3 linked regions of the Ovis aries genome follow. The protein of the gene in region 1 interacts with the protein of each later gene in a biochemical or structural test. Links are inferred from orthologs where the notes say so. Each region holds a gene or a part of one and is shown in the gene's direction. Other genes may lie near its edges.

Evidence for each region. The genes of interacting proteins can lie anywhere in the genome.
Region 2: the proteins of DMD (region 1) and SNTA1 form a complex in vitro, tested with the Homo sapiens proteins (2 studies listed by BioGRID, with this or other methods). The link is inferred for Ovis aries from reciprocal best matches to the Homo sapiens genes DMD and SNTA1.
Region 3: the proteins of DMD (region 1) and DTNA form a complex in vitro, tested with the Homo sapiens proteins (3 studies listed by BioGRID and IntAct, with this or other methods). The link is inferred for Ovis aries from reciprocal best matches to the Homo sapiens genes DMD and DTNA.

What each region holds. Positions count from the first base shown.
Region 1 is NC_056080.1:31,679,736-31,685,242, reverse strand, and holds part of DMD (dystrophin), read left to right. Parts: intron 1-191; coding exon 192-314; intron 315-2,850; coding exon 2,851-2,988; intron 2,989-5,507. UniProt on the Homo sapiens protein: Anchors the extracellular matrix to the cytoskeleton via F-actin. Ligand for dystroglycan.
Region 2 is NC_056066.1:62,923,328-62,929,293, reverse strand, and holds the start of SNTA1 (alpha-1-syntrophin), read left to right. Parts: upstream 1-1,925; 5' UTR 1,926-2,014; coding exon 2,015-2,324; intron 2,325-5,368; coding exon 5,369-5,554; intron 5,555-5,966. UniProt on the Homo sapiens protein: Adapter protein that binds to and probably organizes the subcellular localization of a variety of membrane proteins. May link various receptors to the actin cytoskeleton and the extracellular matrix via the dystrophin glycoprotein complex.
Region 3 is NC_056076.1:22,643,185-22,649,213, reverse strand, and holds the start of DTNA (dystrobrevin alpha), read left to right. Parts: upstream 1-1,988; 5' UTR 1,989-6,029. UniProt on the Homo sapiens protein: May be involved in the formation and stability of synapses as well as being involved in the clustering of nicotinic acetylcholine receptors.

The sequences.
Region 1 (5,507 bases):
GTTAAATGTTTGTCTTTATTTGTATCCTCAGGTACTTTCCCAGTTGTATTTCAACACTTTCATAAAATATAATAGGAAAACATAATGCATGTCATTATTTTAGCAACAGGAAGTTGAACAAATGCATTTTTTGGCTTATATTTCTAATAAAAAGTAATTTTGATTTAAATTAGCACTATCTTTTTTTTTAGGCCTCCATTCCTTTGAAGGAATTGGAGCAGTTTAACTCAGATATACAAAAATTGCTTGAACCACTGGAGGCTGAAATTCAGCAGGGGGTGAATCTGAAAGAGGAAGACTTCAATAAAGATATGGTAAATTGGTTGTGATAAAAGTGTGAATGAACTAGGAATGAAATGAATAAATATTTCAAAGGAAATTAGATAATTCAAGTCTCCAACTAAATTCTCAGAGCATACCTTGTACATTTTGTGATTCTAATGATTTATTACAAATGCAAAGTATTGTTATTGAACTGTTTTGAATGCCAAATTACTATGATATGGGCATACAGGAGTACTTACAGATTCTAATAAATCACTCAACAATGTTTTGTCCATACTCAAAGGACAAAATGTAATGGATGGAAAAAAAAAGTCAAATCAGAAAATGAATTAGAAACTTAATAATAATAATAATAATAAGGCACAGCCATCAGAGAGGGCTGATATTTTGCTTCAGTCCTATTTTTGGTAATATAACATTTATTTTGGATAAGGGACAATTATACATGATATAAACATTGTTTATTAAAACTTAACACAATGTAGTTTTACAAAAAAGTTTAACAAGTATTATAGTATATATCTAAAATATGTGTAAATTCATGCTGCTTATTTCATGGGAAAAAAGAAATATAACCATGTGGGTTATTCCCAGACTCATTTCAACATGTCTTTTATGTTTCTCTCTGGCTTGAATGTTTCTGCCTCACATTCCTTTTCACTGACTTATTCTTTCTCCTTACTCCTCTTCACTCCTCTCCTTTCCCCTCTCCACAACCATCACCTATATGGCATTATTAACCTTTACATATGTCATGCTAGAGATTTCTCAGACATGTATCAGTGCTAGAGACTTCTCAGACAGTGCTTGAAAATGATATCAGAAGGTAAATTATAAGTTGTAAATAATAGGCACATGAAGCAATAGGAGAACCAGTTTTACCAACCTCAGTTCTCGTTGGTATCATGTCTGATTTCCTGGAGCTGCCTAACTCAGTACTCCCTGTGTATGGGTTTGATGATCTTGCCAATTCAGCTCATGGAAAGAAAGACCAGACACACCTTTTTCTAAGATACCGAGCTACAACTACCTCTTATTCATGTCAAAGAAGAAACCAGAGGGCACCAAGTTGGAAAAGAATGCTTCTTACCTCTTGGGCTGTTCACCAACTATGCCCTCTAGCTCTCAGCTGGTGTGGGGAAAGAAGTGCAGTAGGGGTTTTGTTTGTTCATTATTTTTATCCTCAGCCCCAGGAAATGTTTCAGATTTTTAAGGACATATTCTTAAAAGGAAGGTTTTTCAAAGACTGTAAACATAAGTGTCTATTACACTATTTCATTAGACAAATAACTGGCACATCTCAGATGAAAATCTCATTTCCTTAAAAAAATTGAATAGTTTCTCAGTTGTGTATAGAAGTTAACATATGCATTAGAGATTTAAGTATGCAACATTGAATGCCATGGATGATTATAAACACAAACATGTCGCATTTAAAAATTGTCTGCTTCTCTTAATTCATCAGAGTATCTTGGGTACTATTAAAAAGCAAACCTTCTTGATAGAAAGTATATATATATTGCATTGAAAGAAAAGATAGGAAATAGAAGTGAAACATCCAATGGTTACATATGCTACTCTATTGGACCAACACTGTTTAAATAATTCTATTTCAAAATAAATAAAATAAAAATAATTTTCTTAGAGTCTAAAGACCAAACTGCATATTAAAAATATTTAAAGTCATTTTTCTAATCCATATTTAATATTAATTGTATTTATTTAAAAATAATGCATATGTGACATATTTTTAGAAATTATCTGCAATATTTGACAGCAGTTGAGCATGTTTTTTTTTTTTCCTAAAGCTCCAAATCATTTAGTTTAAGTAAAAAAAAAGAAAGAAAGTTGCTCAGTCGTCTTTGCGACCCCACGGACTGTAGCCTACCAGGCTCCTACATCCATGGGATTTTCCAGGCAAGAGTACTGGAGTGGGATGCCATTTCCTTCTCCAGGGGATCTTCCCGACTCAGGGATTGAAACCAGGTCTCCCGCATTGCAGACAGACGTTTTACCATCTGAGCCACCAGGGAAGCTAGTTTATGTAAAACAGAACTTATTATATAGAAATCAGTGTACACTTAAAACAGTGTATTTTCACTTAGGAGTGTGTGTTAAAATTTAAAATTTTACAGTCTCACATTCACAGAGCCACATCTATATTCCTCTGTGAAATAACATTATATGTAACAAGTTTTGTTTTCTTCTCCAAAGTTTTTTTTTTTGTTTTAATTTCTAGAAATGCATTAAAAATCAAAGGCCAAAGAATGCTTTCATAACAATTCACTTGTCTGAAATGATGTAGTAAATTGCTCCCCCATCTTTCTACATACAACTCTAATCAGATGTGTCCTTTTGAAATAGACAGGAGGAAACTTCTTTTAAAAGTTAAAGTATAGCATATTAAAAAAGAAACTCTGAGTGCAGTATCTTAGGATAGCATTCCCTGAAAGTTTTAAATTGGAGTTTTTGTATGTGTTTTAATAACATGTTTTATTATCTCTGTTAAAGATGTACAGCTTTTTTTAAACCAAAATGAAGACTGTACTTGTTGTTTTTAATCAGAGTGAAGACAATGAGGGTACTGTAAAAGAATTGTTGCAAAGAGGAGACAACTTACAACAAAGAATCACAGATGAGAGAAAGCGAGAGGAAATAAAGATAAAACAGCAGCTGTTACAGACAAAACATAATGCTCTCAAGGTATTAGAGCTAAAATTATAATATACCTTGCCTGTGTTTTTTTTTTTTCATGTACAGGGTAAAATCTATTGTTCATAAATAAAATTTGCTTAAGAATCTTAGTCACCAGAAATACATATTTTTTTTTCTGTTCAGTGTCTGTGTTTTAACAATTTTGAGTGCTGTCTTTGATTTTGAAAGATGTGCTGCTTAAAAATTTCAAGGTATTTACTTAGACACATTTTTCTGAGTAGTAATCAAAAGATATTAAATGCATCATTCATTTGTTCATATATTTAATTTTGTAATACAACCTATTTTGTAAGTTATTTTGACATGTGTCTTGAAAAACCTGTTTAACTGTCAGCGTAACCAATTTGTATATTTTTGAGGTTTTCTGCTCTTGATATTTTCTTGATTTAATTCAGAGTAGGTTCACTTTTTGGGGTAACCTAACATTTGTTTAATAGTTCATTTTTTTTTTCAGTTAACTTCATTTTGCCTTTAAGAGAGTTACTCTTTGCAACTAACTAAACATTTAGAAGTCTAATTTCATTTATATAGGAGTCCTCTAAAATAATCTTAATGTCCATGAGAAAGAACCGGTGCTCTCATTTTAACCAGCATTAGTATAGAGCTTCAAGTACCCATGTGTCTCATCTGGAATTGCACAGGAAAGACAGAATAGAATATTGGTGTTTATATAATATCTAGAAAGTTCTTGAGAAGAGATGGGACATGTGAAAGATTCTGTGAAATAACCTTTTATTTTTTAATGTGCTTTTCAATATTCACTATTTGCATGCATGGCTGATTTTCTAATACTGTTAATTGCTGAGTTTTTCATTGTAAATCACTCTTTTAGAGCTGTGTAGCCACGTAGGTGGATCCACCTTATAGGTGAATAGACTCTGCTTTCTATATGCAAATAAGAGTATAAAACCTTTTCCCATATAGTCAGACAACCAAATAAACACTGCTGAGAATGTAATTACACAATATTGTGCCTGCAAGGAATCCACAAGGAAAGTCTAATTGGCCAGCAGGTGTTCTGAAGGTAACTGCTGATAAATATAGGAAATAGAAAAGGCCTCTTCCCTGAGGGAGTACAAGAGCAAGCCATAATGTGCTCAGAAAATCAGAAAGCTGTGTAATTCACATGCTTCCAACTGTGACCAAGCTTTTAGAAACATCTACACTGGTCGTATGATGATATGTGTCCTACTGAACAGCAGTGTTTAATGGTTATCTGGCATACCTGTAAAGAAATATCTATAATATCTCTTAATATCTTTACACATTACACACCACCTTGTGCTTAGGAAATAAAAATAATTTCAGATTTGGTGACCACAAGCCCTTTCTCTTGGCGAAGATGTAAGTTGCGTCACCAGTAAGGCATGGCTCAACTCTCTTTCACGTGGCTGTATCTTGGTACCTTTGAAAAAAGCAGCATTCCATCTGGCTCATCCCAGGCATTTATTACTTCCATAGGAGGTTTAGAAATTCAACTGAAAATGTAAACTGTAGAAAATTTTACATCCCCAATTTTAAACAAAATGCAGAATGAAATCAAAATCATTTTTCTCAGATATATGTTAAAAGCAATTAATGAAAATCAACACTTGCCACACCAATATACTAAATTCAGTAGTTATTAATCTGCCAAGTGTTCAAGTCTAGTCCTTATGAAATATTTCAAAGAAGGTGAAACTTTCCAAAGCAGTGACTATTTCAGCAGTTCTTTGATATTCACTCTTTTCTTTTGCTCCAGTTATATCTATACATGAAACCCTAATTGCTACTACTCTGAAGAAATGGAAACTGTATCCTGAGCTCTTATGTTCCCTTATAAAACATGTAAAATATATTCCCTTGTAGAATAGCATTACAACAAATTCTGTTGATCAGGGAAGACATTGGATGATCTTGTAAGGAGTAAGATGATTAATTTTCCCCTTTTGTGATTCATTAAAGTAGTCACCCTTATTTGTCTCATCAGGTTGATTGAAACCTGTGCACTTTTCCTTTTCTAAATTTTATCATTTTGCATTTGGGTTTGATGCCAATGAGCAAGTTTGCCATACAAGTCAAAAAGGAAAATAATTTTTATGATATTTAAATTGTCATTTTCATGCATACTCACAGGCGTACACTTTTCGCACTTGAACATATATATATAGCTTGAAGCAATTTCTGTGATAACTAAGAACACTCTATGTTTCTAATCACAAAATATTCATGTCCTATGAACCTTTTTTTGCAGACATTTCTAAAATTACAAATGTAAACTACTTGGCTATATAAACTCAAAATTTTGAACCTAGTGCTGAAGATAGAAATTTTAGAATTTTTACCTATTTTAAAATTCAAATGCAAACTCAGCAAGTTTGTGCAAGTATGTAGTTACCTCAGTTGAGTTCACATATTGAACAATTTCACAAACTGTACACAGTAATTCATTTGATTCATTAAGAGTTAATCAAATATGAAAAGATTTCTAAAAAAGTTTGAGCATACTAAGAAAAAATACTGAAAGT
Region 2 (5,966 bases), on another chromosome or scaffold:
TTCTACTTGCAGGGAATCTATACACTGATGTGGCCCTATTTATGGTCCAACAGCATCCCAGGTAGGAGTGGAAGATGGAAACAGAGTAGATATGAGGGCTGGTTGAGGTCTGTGAGGTAGTGTGTTTTTTCTGGTAATGATCACACCTCATCTGTCTAGTGCCCAGGGTCAGTGCCCAGGCACTGGTATGAGACAAGACTAGGTTTGAATCCCAGCTCTGTCCTACTCACAAATGTGTGAACTGGGCCAATTAGATCTTCTGAATCAAAATTTTCCTTTCGGTATAACGGAAGTATTCTTAACTGTAGCTACTTCACGAGGCTACTGTAAAGCTAAGAAAACACATGAAAATGCTCAGATCTAGGCCTGGCCAACTCAACAAATAAATAAAATTGGATTCAATAAAAAACAAAGTGATTATATTGATTGCATAAGATTCACAGAGTAAAATATATTTTCCCACTGATTTAATCCTGACACAGTCCCTGTGAGGGTTATAGGGGTTATTAGGACCCCCATTTCACAGATGAGGTAATTGAGGCCTAGAGAACTGTAGTGCCAGGACCAAGGTCGATATGGAGCTCACAGTTTCTGAACAGGGTTAAAAAACAGGTCTCCAGAGGTCCAGATCCAGAAGCCCCACCTTCCAGCCGTCTTCCCCAACACCAGGAGTTCTGGGTTCTTCTCTGTCCAGTGTGGAATTCAGGCTTTTCTGTATTCGACTGTGAAGAACAGGGGGTTAATCTCTTCAACTCCTTTCCAGTTTCAACGCGGGGAGTGTTACGCCTTGCCCAATCCCTCAACAGCCAGCATCGCGCTTATCCCAGAGGGCGGGGCCTGTCAGCGTTAGACACCGCACCCCACACTAAGCCATACCCACAGACCGAAGTTCCCGCCCCACAGGCGGAAACCCGCAAATCTCCTGCACTATACGCCCGCCTGCGAAGTCCCTTGCAGCTCGATGTCTGCCTCTTAAACTCAAGCCCTGTCCCTGCAGTCCAGCGCTCTGCCATATGCAGCCCCACACCCAAGTTCAAAGCCTCGCACCACGATCCACGGTTCTGTATCTTTTTCTCGTGATCCCACGGCTGCGAGCTACGGCCTCGGCCCTCGACGGCTTCGCCCGGCTGTCTCCTGCACAGGATCTTAGGGTCCAGCCCGGGACACGAAGCCGGGCCCCCAGGGCCCCGCCCACCCCACTTCACGCTCTCATTGCCTTAACTTTGGGTCCCATCCGGACATCCTTATGTCCCCATGCCCATGTTGTTGTCATCAGTCGCTCAGTCGTGTCCGACTCTTTGTGACCCCATGGACTGAAGCACGCCAGGCTTCCTTGTCCATCACCATCTCCCAGATTTCGCTCAGACTCATGTCCATCGAATCGGTGATGCCATCCAAGCATCTCATCATCTGTTGTCCCCTCTCATCATCTGTCGTCCCCTCTCATCCTGCCCTCAATCTTTCCCAGCATCAGCGTCTTTTCTAATGAGCCGGGTCTTCGCATCGGGTGGCCAAAGTATTGGAGCTCCAGCTTCAGCATCAGTCCTTCCAATGAATATTCAGGGTTGATTTCCTTTAGGACTGACTGTTTTGATCTCCTTGCTATTTAAGGGACTGTCAAGAGTCTTCTCCAGCACCACAGTTCGAAAGCATCAATTCTTCGGCGCTCAGCCTTCTTTATGGTCCAACTCTCAAATCTGTACGTGATTACTGGAAAAACCATAGTTTTGACTATATGGACCTTTGTGGGCAAAGTAATGTAGTCTCACAGTATATCCTCTGGCTCTTGGAACCCGTCACAGCCCCTTCTGGCTTGCCGGTGACCACGCCCCTCGCTGTTAGCCACACCCACATGCAGCCCCGCCCACCGATGCTCCACCCCCAGCGGCCTGGGGTAGGGTGGCGGCTGGCCCAGCTGGGCCCCCGCTGCCCTCAGCTCTGGGCGCTGGGTCGGAGCTGGCCGGGCACTGCGGGGGCAGGGCGAGCGCGGCGGCCCGGGGGCTCGGAGGCGAAGATGGCGTCAGGCAGGCGCGCCCCGCGCACCGGACTGCTGGAACTGCGCGCCGGGGCAGGCTCGGGGGCTGGTGGCGAGCGGTGGCAGCGGGTGCTGCTCAGTCTAGAGGAGGACGCGCTGACCGTGAGCCCCGCCGACGGCGAGCCCGGACCTGAGCCCGGTGCCCAGCGGGAGCCGGAGCCCGCGCAGCTCAACGGCGCCGCCGAACCGGGCGCCGCGTCCCCGCCGCTGCCGGAGGCGCTGCTGCTCCAGCCGCGCCGCGTGACGGTGCGCAAGGCCGACGCCGGCGGGCTGGGTATCAGCATCAAAGGTGGGCGCGGGGGCAACGAGGGCACGGGTCTTGGTGTCTGTGGGACCGCTAAGGCGCAGGGATCGCGGGGGCTGGCAGCGTATTGAGGACGTGGAGTTGGTGGACTTCTGTCCGGGGTGACGGCTTCTGGGAGGACAGAACCGAGGGCACCAGAGCACCAAGGTCAGAGAGGGCTTTGAGGTCTCATTCAGAGGGCACAGGTGTGGACGGCTTTGGGGGCACGCCAAGGACAAGTGGGTGGGGAGTTGTGTGCTGAGGCAAAGAGGTCTGACACTGATTGCCTTTCAGGAGTTGCATGGGTATCAAGGACAAGAGGGACCCCAGTAGAGCAAAGGATAGAGAAGGGAGACTGAGGCCTGGGGTGCTACTAGGCAAAGGAGGAGGAAGTCTTCAAGAGACAGTCAAAACAGAAGGGAAGGAGGGGCAAGGTCTGGAGTGGGAAGCGTTGCTGGGATGGCGACTAGGTGGAGGTGCCAACTGGGCTGGGCTCACAGACAGGGGGCCACAAAGGACCTGGAAATCTGAGCGCCTAGGAAACCTGTATGTATAGGTGAAGAGTCTTAAGTGTCCACCATCACAGCACTGAGATGGGCTTTCAGCCCCCAGTACTGACAGCTTTCTTTAAGGTGCCACCCAGACTGAAGTCCAGAATCAACCTGTGTGAACTTGTGTGGTAAGATCCCATGGACTGTAGCTTGGTAGACTCCTCTGTCCTTGGGATTCTCCAGGCAAAGATACTGGGTTGCCATTTCCTCCTGCAGGGGATCTTCCCGACCCAGGGATAAAACCCACATCTCTCATGTCCGCTGCGTTGGCAAGCGGGTTCTTTACCGCTATTGCCACCTGGGAAGCCCTTTTCCATCTCTGGACCTGAGTTTCCTCAACTATATAATGAGAGTAATGATAGAATTGGGATGTTTCTACGAAAATAGGTGTCCAAAATACTCAGTCTGCCAACACATAATAGGTGCCTAGATAGTTACTGCTGTTAGATGAGAGGAAAAATGAAAGTCAAGAAAGACTCCCAAAGTTAGTAACCTGGTGCTGAAAAGTCTGCACACCCCAGCCGCTGCGTTCACCATTCCTTCCCGAGGGGGTGGGGATGGTGGTGACTTGGGTACCATTGTGTGCCGAGCGCTATGCCCAGTGCTCTAGGCTCAGGATCCACTTCATCCTGGCAACAAGTACCAAAAGATAGGAAGTATAATCTTCACTTAGCAGGTGAGGAAACTGAAACTTGGAAAAGTAAAATGATTTTCCTAGGATCACACAGTCGATGAGTGACAGAGCTGGCATTTGAACCTCAATTATCCAGCCACTAAAGAGTGTTCAGAGAAGTTGATTTTTCCCCAGGAAAAGGAAAGACAATATCTGAACCTAGGTCTCCTGGTTCCAGAACCAACACTCTTAACCCTCTGGTAGGCTGCAAGTCAGGCCCTCAGATACCACGCTATTGCTCCATCCTCAAAGATGGAGGAAAGTTTGGAAAAACTCCAAACTTCCATGCAACCAACCAAAGGGATCTAAAAGGGGGGTAATGAGAAAGCCAGGGAGTGGACACCTGTTTTGCCCTCAACACCAGTGTGGGTTAGGGCAACAGATCAAGGCAGAAATTGTACACTCTGTGTTAAAGCAGGAAGGAACTTAATGTTCAGATAGCGTTCCATTTTGCAGATAGACTGAGTCTTGGAGAGGAAGAGGACTTTTCAAGGTCACATAAAGTTATTCCCTAGCTTTACTCCCAGGTGGGGGTAAAGGGACTTTTAGGAGGTGTCAGGGGTAATACCAGCTCCATTCAATTCTTTTTGTATGGAGACTGGACTCCTGTTGCTGTGTTGACCTTTCCTTTAGGGTCCAGCCCAGCCCAAGGCATCGAGGAATGGCCATGGATTCAAACTGACTTGAAGTCCCTAGTTTCAGGTGGAAGAGGGCAGAGAGATACTGGGTTGGCCAAAAAGTTCATTTGGGGTGTTCCATATCATCTTATAGAAAAACTCGTATGAACACTTTGGCCAACTCTGTTTAAACAGAAGCTCCTTCCTTTCCTAGGCTTCAAGCTCTGTGCACTGCAGTGGGCAAACTGCTGGGCCTATGTGGGGGTCCAGAGAGGCATTCCAGTCCTACTTCGGCTACCAGTCTGTTGAGTGACCTTGAAATTATGACCTCCTCTCCCTGGTCCACTTGTTCCTCATCTTTGAGGATGGAGCAATAGTGTGGTATCTGAGGGCCTGACTTGCAGCCTACCAGAGGGTTAAGAGTGTTGGTTCTGGAACCAGGAGACCTAGGTTCAGATATTGTCTTTGCCACTAATTAGCTGGGTGACCTTGGACAACGGATTTGTCTCCACACTTCAACCTTCCCAATAGGAATCTGAACATGCCTGTGTGATTGGGTATTGTGAAGATGCAATGAGACAAGATTGAAAGCATTTAACATGGTGCTTGGCACTTGGTATGTGGAACTAATGTGAACTGTTATCAATGTTTATTATTTTTAAAGGACATTCAAGAGTTTATAAATAAAGCAATATGGTAAAATGTATTAATATTTGATTTTTTTTGTCTTTTTGCATCAGAGATGCAATTCAGATAGGCTTTTGAAATCTCTAGACTTTAAAGCCCTGGTTTCTAGCCTGAGACCTAGGTTGTGAAGCTTTCAGCTTTGTGGCCATAGCAGTAACTGACTTCTATCTTTATTCTCAATTAGAGGTTATCAGTGAGTTCCCCCATTATGGGAAACTCACGTAAAATAAAAAATAAGAAGTTATTGAAGCATCTTGTAAGTTCTTCCAACACTGGTGACCACCCAAAGCACTTAACCAAAAGATCCATTATAACATTATAAATTTAGAAAATGCCTTTTAGGTATTATTAGTGCCCCAAACTTCTAAGGCTCTTTTCTGAGATTCTCTTTGCCCCGCACTCCTGCTTTCCCAGTACTGGGCTGGACACAGTGGGAGACCTTCAGAAATAATTTTGCCTTGTTGTGACTTGCAAGTGTTGGAATGTGTGCCTCAATTTCTTCCTCTTTCTGTGCTTGTCCAGGGGGCCGAGAGAACAAGATGCCTATTCTCATCTCCAAGATCTTCAAGGGCCTGGCAGCTGACCAGACGGAGGCCCTCTTTGTGGGGGATGCCATCCTGTCCGTGAATGGGGAGGACCTTTCCTCTGCCACCCATGACGAGGCGGTGCAAGTCCTGAAGAAGACAGGCAAAGAGGTGGTGCTGGAGGGTAAGCACTGGGGACCCCAGGGGTGTTCAGTTCTTCCCTACAACCCCCCAGGCCTCAAGCAGTGGAGTCTGGGAGGTGGGCAGGGTTGAAAACAGAAACAGAACTTGGAGACCTGCCTTGAGACATTGGTGTGGTGGAGATAGAGCCGCTTCAGAGCCAGACAGATCTGGACTTCATTTCCTCTCTCCCACTCCCTAGCTGTTTGACCTTGGATGAGTCACTTCATTTCCCTGAGCCTTAGTTTTCTCATCGGTAGGGCAGGGATATAACTTCTGCCTTGCTGGGTTGTGGGACTAGGATGAAAAGTCCATGGTAGGAACTGCCACTCGGTGAGTGACACAGGGGAAGAAATGGGTGGGGACTGGGGAACAGGAGACTTAGAATCTTGCCTGAGAAACCAGGGGAGCTCTCA
Region 3 (6,029 bases), on another chromosome or scaffold:
TCAGCAAAATTGTGGCATTGTTACAGCCCATTAACTTGATCCTGCCCAGCTCCCCTTGGCATCCGCTCATGTATTTCTTCACTTCTGCTTTAGTCCATGTCAGTGTGTGTATCTATGGGCAACCTCCCAACACCACTGCCTGCAGGATAGTCGTTCCCATGAGTCTTATTTCATACAATTCCATTTTAGTTTTTATTAAGAAGCCTAGTGGACTCTATAGTTAGACATGTCTGGTTTTAAGCCCTAAATTGATCACTTGGGCAATTGCTTAATCTCTCTGAAGCTCGGTTTCCACATAAGTAAAATAGAAAGAGTAATACGCCATTGTTATGGTGTTCTTATAAGAACATAATGAGAAAATTCCTTCTTAGTGTTTGGTATCTTGTTCACTTTTTTGTAAAACAGTTGTGTTTTAAATAGTATTGTGATTTTTATTATTGTTACTGTATCTTCTCCCAGAAAACGTCTGATTTTCTTGTCCTCTTGCAGAAAACAATGAACTCCCTGCCTGTCCCCTTTCCACCTCTCCAAACCCAGCATTCCCCAACTCTAAAAAATAAGAAATGGAAAATTTAAAGCACGCATTCCTCCCTGGCTTATATCTGAATGCTCAGTGCCCTGCCCTTCACTTTTATTCTCATTCTCCTCAGGGAAATCTAACTCCTACAAATCCAGATAGCAATTAGCCCATGGTCAGTAGTAGCCTCAGTTTTGTTTTGCTTTCTCAGCACATTAGCCATGGACAAGAGAGGACCTGTTTCTTTCTCCTATTCTTTTTGCTGCTGTTTAGTGGCTAAGTTGCATCTGACTCGCGATCCCTGGCGAGTCCGCCAGGCTCCTCTGTCCACAGGATTTCTCAGGCAAGAATACTGGCATAGGTTGCCATTTCCTTCTCCAGAGGATCTTCCTGACCCAGGAATGGAACCAGCACCTCCTGCTTGGCAAGCAGATTCTTTACCACTGAGCCACCAGGCTAGGCCTTCGTACTCTTTTCAGGCTCCTCCAAAACAAAATCCTTTCAAGCACCAGGAGTCATGCCAGTAAAGTCCTAAAGAACGTTGCCTTTCCAGATGCAAGTTTCTGCCTGACACTCGCATACTGACTTTGTATATCTGGGCACCCTGGGTTCTACTACATGAGGAGCCCATCACTATCTTCTCTGCATCATGCCAGCACTACCTCAACATCTTTCCTGTTTTCCTGGTGTTCAGAGGCCAGGTTGCTCTCTCCTCTGGGCAGCTGCTCTGCAGATATATCCATTGACTGCTCCCTTTCACTAATGATTAGTGCTCCCTAAAAAATAAAGCTACCTTTGATTCTCACCAAATCCTGGCTTTCTTCCTCAAAACCAGCCCATGCAAGGAGCTATAATTTCTTCATTTGTGTATCCAGAGACATAAGCATTTTGGTGGGGTGAGGATCCATACTTTTTATCAAATCATTGAAAGGGGCTAAACTTTAAAAGAAATTATAGACTGGATAGTATTGCATTGCTTAATCAGCTAATACCTCTTAATTAAGAAGCTAAGTTGAATGCAATCACTTCAAAAAAGTTTTGAATTACATTTTTACAATTTATCAAATTATTTTACTTGCATAAGTGTGTATACATATACACATTTTTACATATCCAAGTAAAATAATGTATATAGTATATACAGTATATATGGGACTTCCCAGGTAACTCAGTGATAAAGATCTGCCTGCCAAACAGGATGCGGGTTTGATTCCTGGGTCAGGAAGATCCCCTGGAGAAGGAAATGGCAACCCGACTCCAGTATTCTTGCCTGGGAAATCCCATGGACAGAGGAGTCTGGCAGGCTATAGTCCATGGGGTTGCAAAAGAGTCAAACACGACTTAATGACTAAACAACAACATACAATATGTATACTATTATCTGTATAATACTATGTATATACTATACATATATAGTATACATGTATACTATATAAATATAGTATACCACTATAATGAGATTAAGTGGGGCTCAGAAATAAGTGGGGCCAAATTCAAAAATTTGGAGTTGTCTTATTGCAAGATTAGTGAAAAACTGTCTTACAATTACGGGGAGAGGGGAATTTTCATTCTTCATTTATTTAATTTCATTCAATAAATATGTCGGGAAAGGAAATAGACCTACATTTATGAGCAGGGACATCCTACACTGAATTGAGACGGTTCCAAATAGTCAGAAGGCAGACCGTTTCCTAACACCCGCCCCTCAGAAGTTAAAGACTTCACAGCCCCAGCAGAATGGCAGGGAAGACTCTGGTTCCAGTATTCAGGTTAACCATAGATCCCCCATAACCAAGTGGGCCTATCCAGTATGTCCCCTACATACAGATGAGTCCTGTTCTGAGAGTGCATTCATAAGTTCAATTTGTTCATAAACCCAACAAAGTTAGCCTACAATTGACTATACAGTACTGCAATGTAATAGGTTTATAATACTTTTCACACAATACATTAAAAATAAGCACAAAAAATAAAGAAAACACCTTTAACCTTACAGTAGAGTACTTGAAAAGCACAGTAGTGCAGTACAACAGCAGGCATACAGGGGCTGGCATCGAGTGAACAGGCTAGAAGAGTTACTGACTAGAGGAGGAGGGAGGGGAGGTGGGAGATGGGAGAGCTGAAGGATCGTCAGCAATGGGAAACGGAGAGCGAGCCGCAGCTTCACTCACACCTGGTGTTGACAGCACAGGTTCTGGCTCTTTGCTGGATGCAGCTCTATCTAACCCTCTTGATAAAAATGACCCAGTGATGTCTGGGTCATAGCTCCTTTGTTCTCATCAGAGATGACACGGTAGCACTGCACTGCATTCTGAACGGCTGCTGGCTCCTGCGTGTACTGTTCTATGTCCAGGTCCTGTGCCTCAAAAGCCAACAGTGACTCCTCAGATAAAGAAAACCTCCTTGCCATTTCCTGCTCCACTTGTAGAGAATGCACACACGTGACAATGTACGCCAGACACGTGAGCTAACTTCCGTGACTGGACATGCAAACGTACATTCGCATCTTTGAAAGTTCACAACTTGAAGGTTCATGGGGACTTCCTATACAAGTAACATTATTGCTTGTGAGAAATATAGATGCGCACACACACAACCCTTGTCCCAAAGGCACATCATATGAGATAAAACACGGTTCTCTAAAAACATCTTAGGTCCCAGTGCAGAGCTGAAGGCAGCGGTACAGATGACCCCCTGTACTTGTGGTTGTCTCCCCCAGAGACTCTTGAGGTCCCTTTGATGAAGCTCTTAGGCAGGGCTTCCAAGTCCTTCAAAGACTTTCTAGTCCTTTTAACCTCACACAACAGAGTCCAAGTTTTTATCATCTTCCTTCCAAATGGCTCCTTTTTCCCCATACCAAACTGCTCCCAGCCCTGCTCTGCAATCTTTAAATCCTGACTAATAGGAGGAGGTGAGAATCATACCCCCGTGCTCTTGAGCAGAAGGCCTAGCCTCATACCAAGCCAAATGGAGTCAAACAAAAGCCAGTGACCTTAAACATCTTGTACACTCTAACCCCAGAAAGCCTTCCTTCCTGACTTGAAAGTACCACTGATAGTACTCCTCTCCAGATAAAAATTGTTTTCTCACTTTTTAATGACATTTTTTTTGTTACTTAAAGTTTGCCTTAGTATGTACCCATATCAATATATCAGGGCTTCCCTGGTGGCTCAGACGATAAAGAATCTGCCTGCAATGCAGGAGACCTGGGTCCATCCCTGCATTGGGAAGATCCCCTGGAGAAGGGAACGGATACCCACTCCAATATTCTGGCCTGGAGAATTTCATGGACAGAGGAGCCTGGTGGGCTACAGTCCATGGGGGGTCACAAAGAGTCAACTGAGCGACTTTCACCATCACCATCGTCATCAGTGTATGCATATTTACATTCTCTGAAGAATTAATTATCTTCTCCCTTGGCTCAAAGTACATTGTAAAGTGGATCTTACAAGCTAGAGAAACATATTATAAGGCAACACAGGAATTCCAGCCTAGGGACTTCCCTGGTTGTCCAGTGGTTAAGAATCTGCCTGCCAATGCAGGGGACATGGGTTCCACCCCTGGTTTGGAAGCTAGGATCCCACATGCCTCAGGGCAAGCTTGGTTCACCGCAATCACCAAGCCGGCTTTCCTAGAGCCAGTGCTGGGCAACAAGAGAAGCCACCGCATCGAGAAGCTGTGCACTCGTGACTGGAGAGCAGCCCCCATTTGCTGCAACTAGAGAAAAGGCCAGGTGCAGCAACAAACACTCAGTGCAGCATCGAACACTCAGCACAGCCAAAAATAAACTTTTTTAAAAAGAATTCCAACCTGTTGTTATTGTTCAACAGTCAAATTCAACTAACACAGTATTTCTAGTATTAATCTGGCTATGTATCAGGGATGCCTGTGATGCACTGTTAAAGTGCAAGGGTTCCACTTCAACCCCCGATTCAGTAGATCCAGGTAGTATGTATATTTTTTTATGAAGTCTCCAGGCCAGGGTGATGTTCAGCCACTGCTGAGAACCACTATGGTGGGTACTTTGGAGGAAAGACCAAATCCCTGATAACAAATCCAGCGGGTCCTAGCCCTAAAATAGTAAGCTCATGTCCCTCATTCCCCAAAACAAAACTCAAGTTCCAAGATGATGTTCAAAGTAAAAGGCTGAGCCAGAAACCCATTATAGCCATTTATTTCAGTGACAGCATTTTCCTACTTTCAGGAGCTCATCTAGATAAAGGACTAGGAGGTAGAAGCAAATGCAATTATACTTTGCCTCAGGAAAGAGCTCTGAATGCTGTTCTATCATATTGCCAGAGATCGGGACTAGAAAGTAAATCTGAGAAAATGCTATCAGAGGCCCCTTTTCATTAATAGAAATGGAAACAGGCTTTTATATGCCACCAGTAAAGAATCCACCTGCCAATGCAGGAGCCGCAGGTTCGATCCCTCGGTTGGGAAGATTCCCCTGGGGGAGGAACTGGCAGCCGGCTCCAGTGTTCTTGCCTGGGATAACTCTATGGACAGAGGAGCCTGGCAGGCTACAGTCCATGGGGTCACAAAGAGGTAGACACAGCTGAAGTGACTGAGCATGGACAGGCACACAGGAAATCAGTTGGGGAGGAAAGGAGCTTGGAAGGGCCTGCATTGCAGTTATTCACTTTGGGCATCCCCACAGTTGGTGACGGCTGGACCCCACACGTTCCTGTCATCCACCTGGAGCGAAGGGAGGGAAGTGTAAAACCTGGGAAGGGGCTATCACACTAACTGCTAAATCCTCATGTCTAGTGTTTGCTAAAGGGGAGCAGAAGCCAAGCAGAGCCAGACATTTCTAAAAACACTGTCAGCTTTGGTGAATTTAAAATGTGAGAGTGTGAATCAGGGTATGAGTTGCTGTGTTTGTATGTGTCTGGGTTTACATAAATCTGGACGCTGGGAACTGTTTTCATCTGAATGATCATTTCCAAGACGACAGTGATTTAAAATGGGGGGATTCCGGTAAGAAGTAACACCCAAAGGGATTTCTTAGTGACGTTTGAGAGTTCTGTGAGTCCTTTCTCCCTAGTCTCCTTTTGGGCTGTTGATCACCAACTGCTTTTCAGTTTACCAATTTCAGAAAACCTTCATTTGCGTTGAACAGTGGCGGCAGGAATAAGATTGCTGGCTATTAGAATCCATACTAGCTGAAGAATCTCAAAATTAAAAGCAAAAAAAATAATGGATTCCGTTTCCTGCTCTGTCAGAAAATACTTTATATTTGGGAGGGCCTGAGTCTCAAATTCTTCAGCTAGAATTTGAGAGTAATATTAATAATATCTCTTCAACTTCCTCACCAGGTTATAGGGAAAAGCATTTTATAATCATCAGAAAGTTATACAAATGGAAGACACCATTAGTTTAAGCTTCTACATTTAAAATGTCTTATACATCATCCGTAATAGAAATGTCTGTTTATTACAGATGATGTTGGATTAAAGAGCTGTCATGAAGGATGTGATATTTCAGTGTGAACTTCTCACTAAGCCAAAAT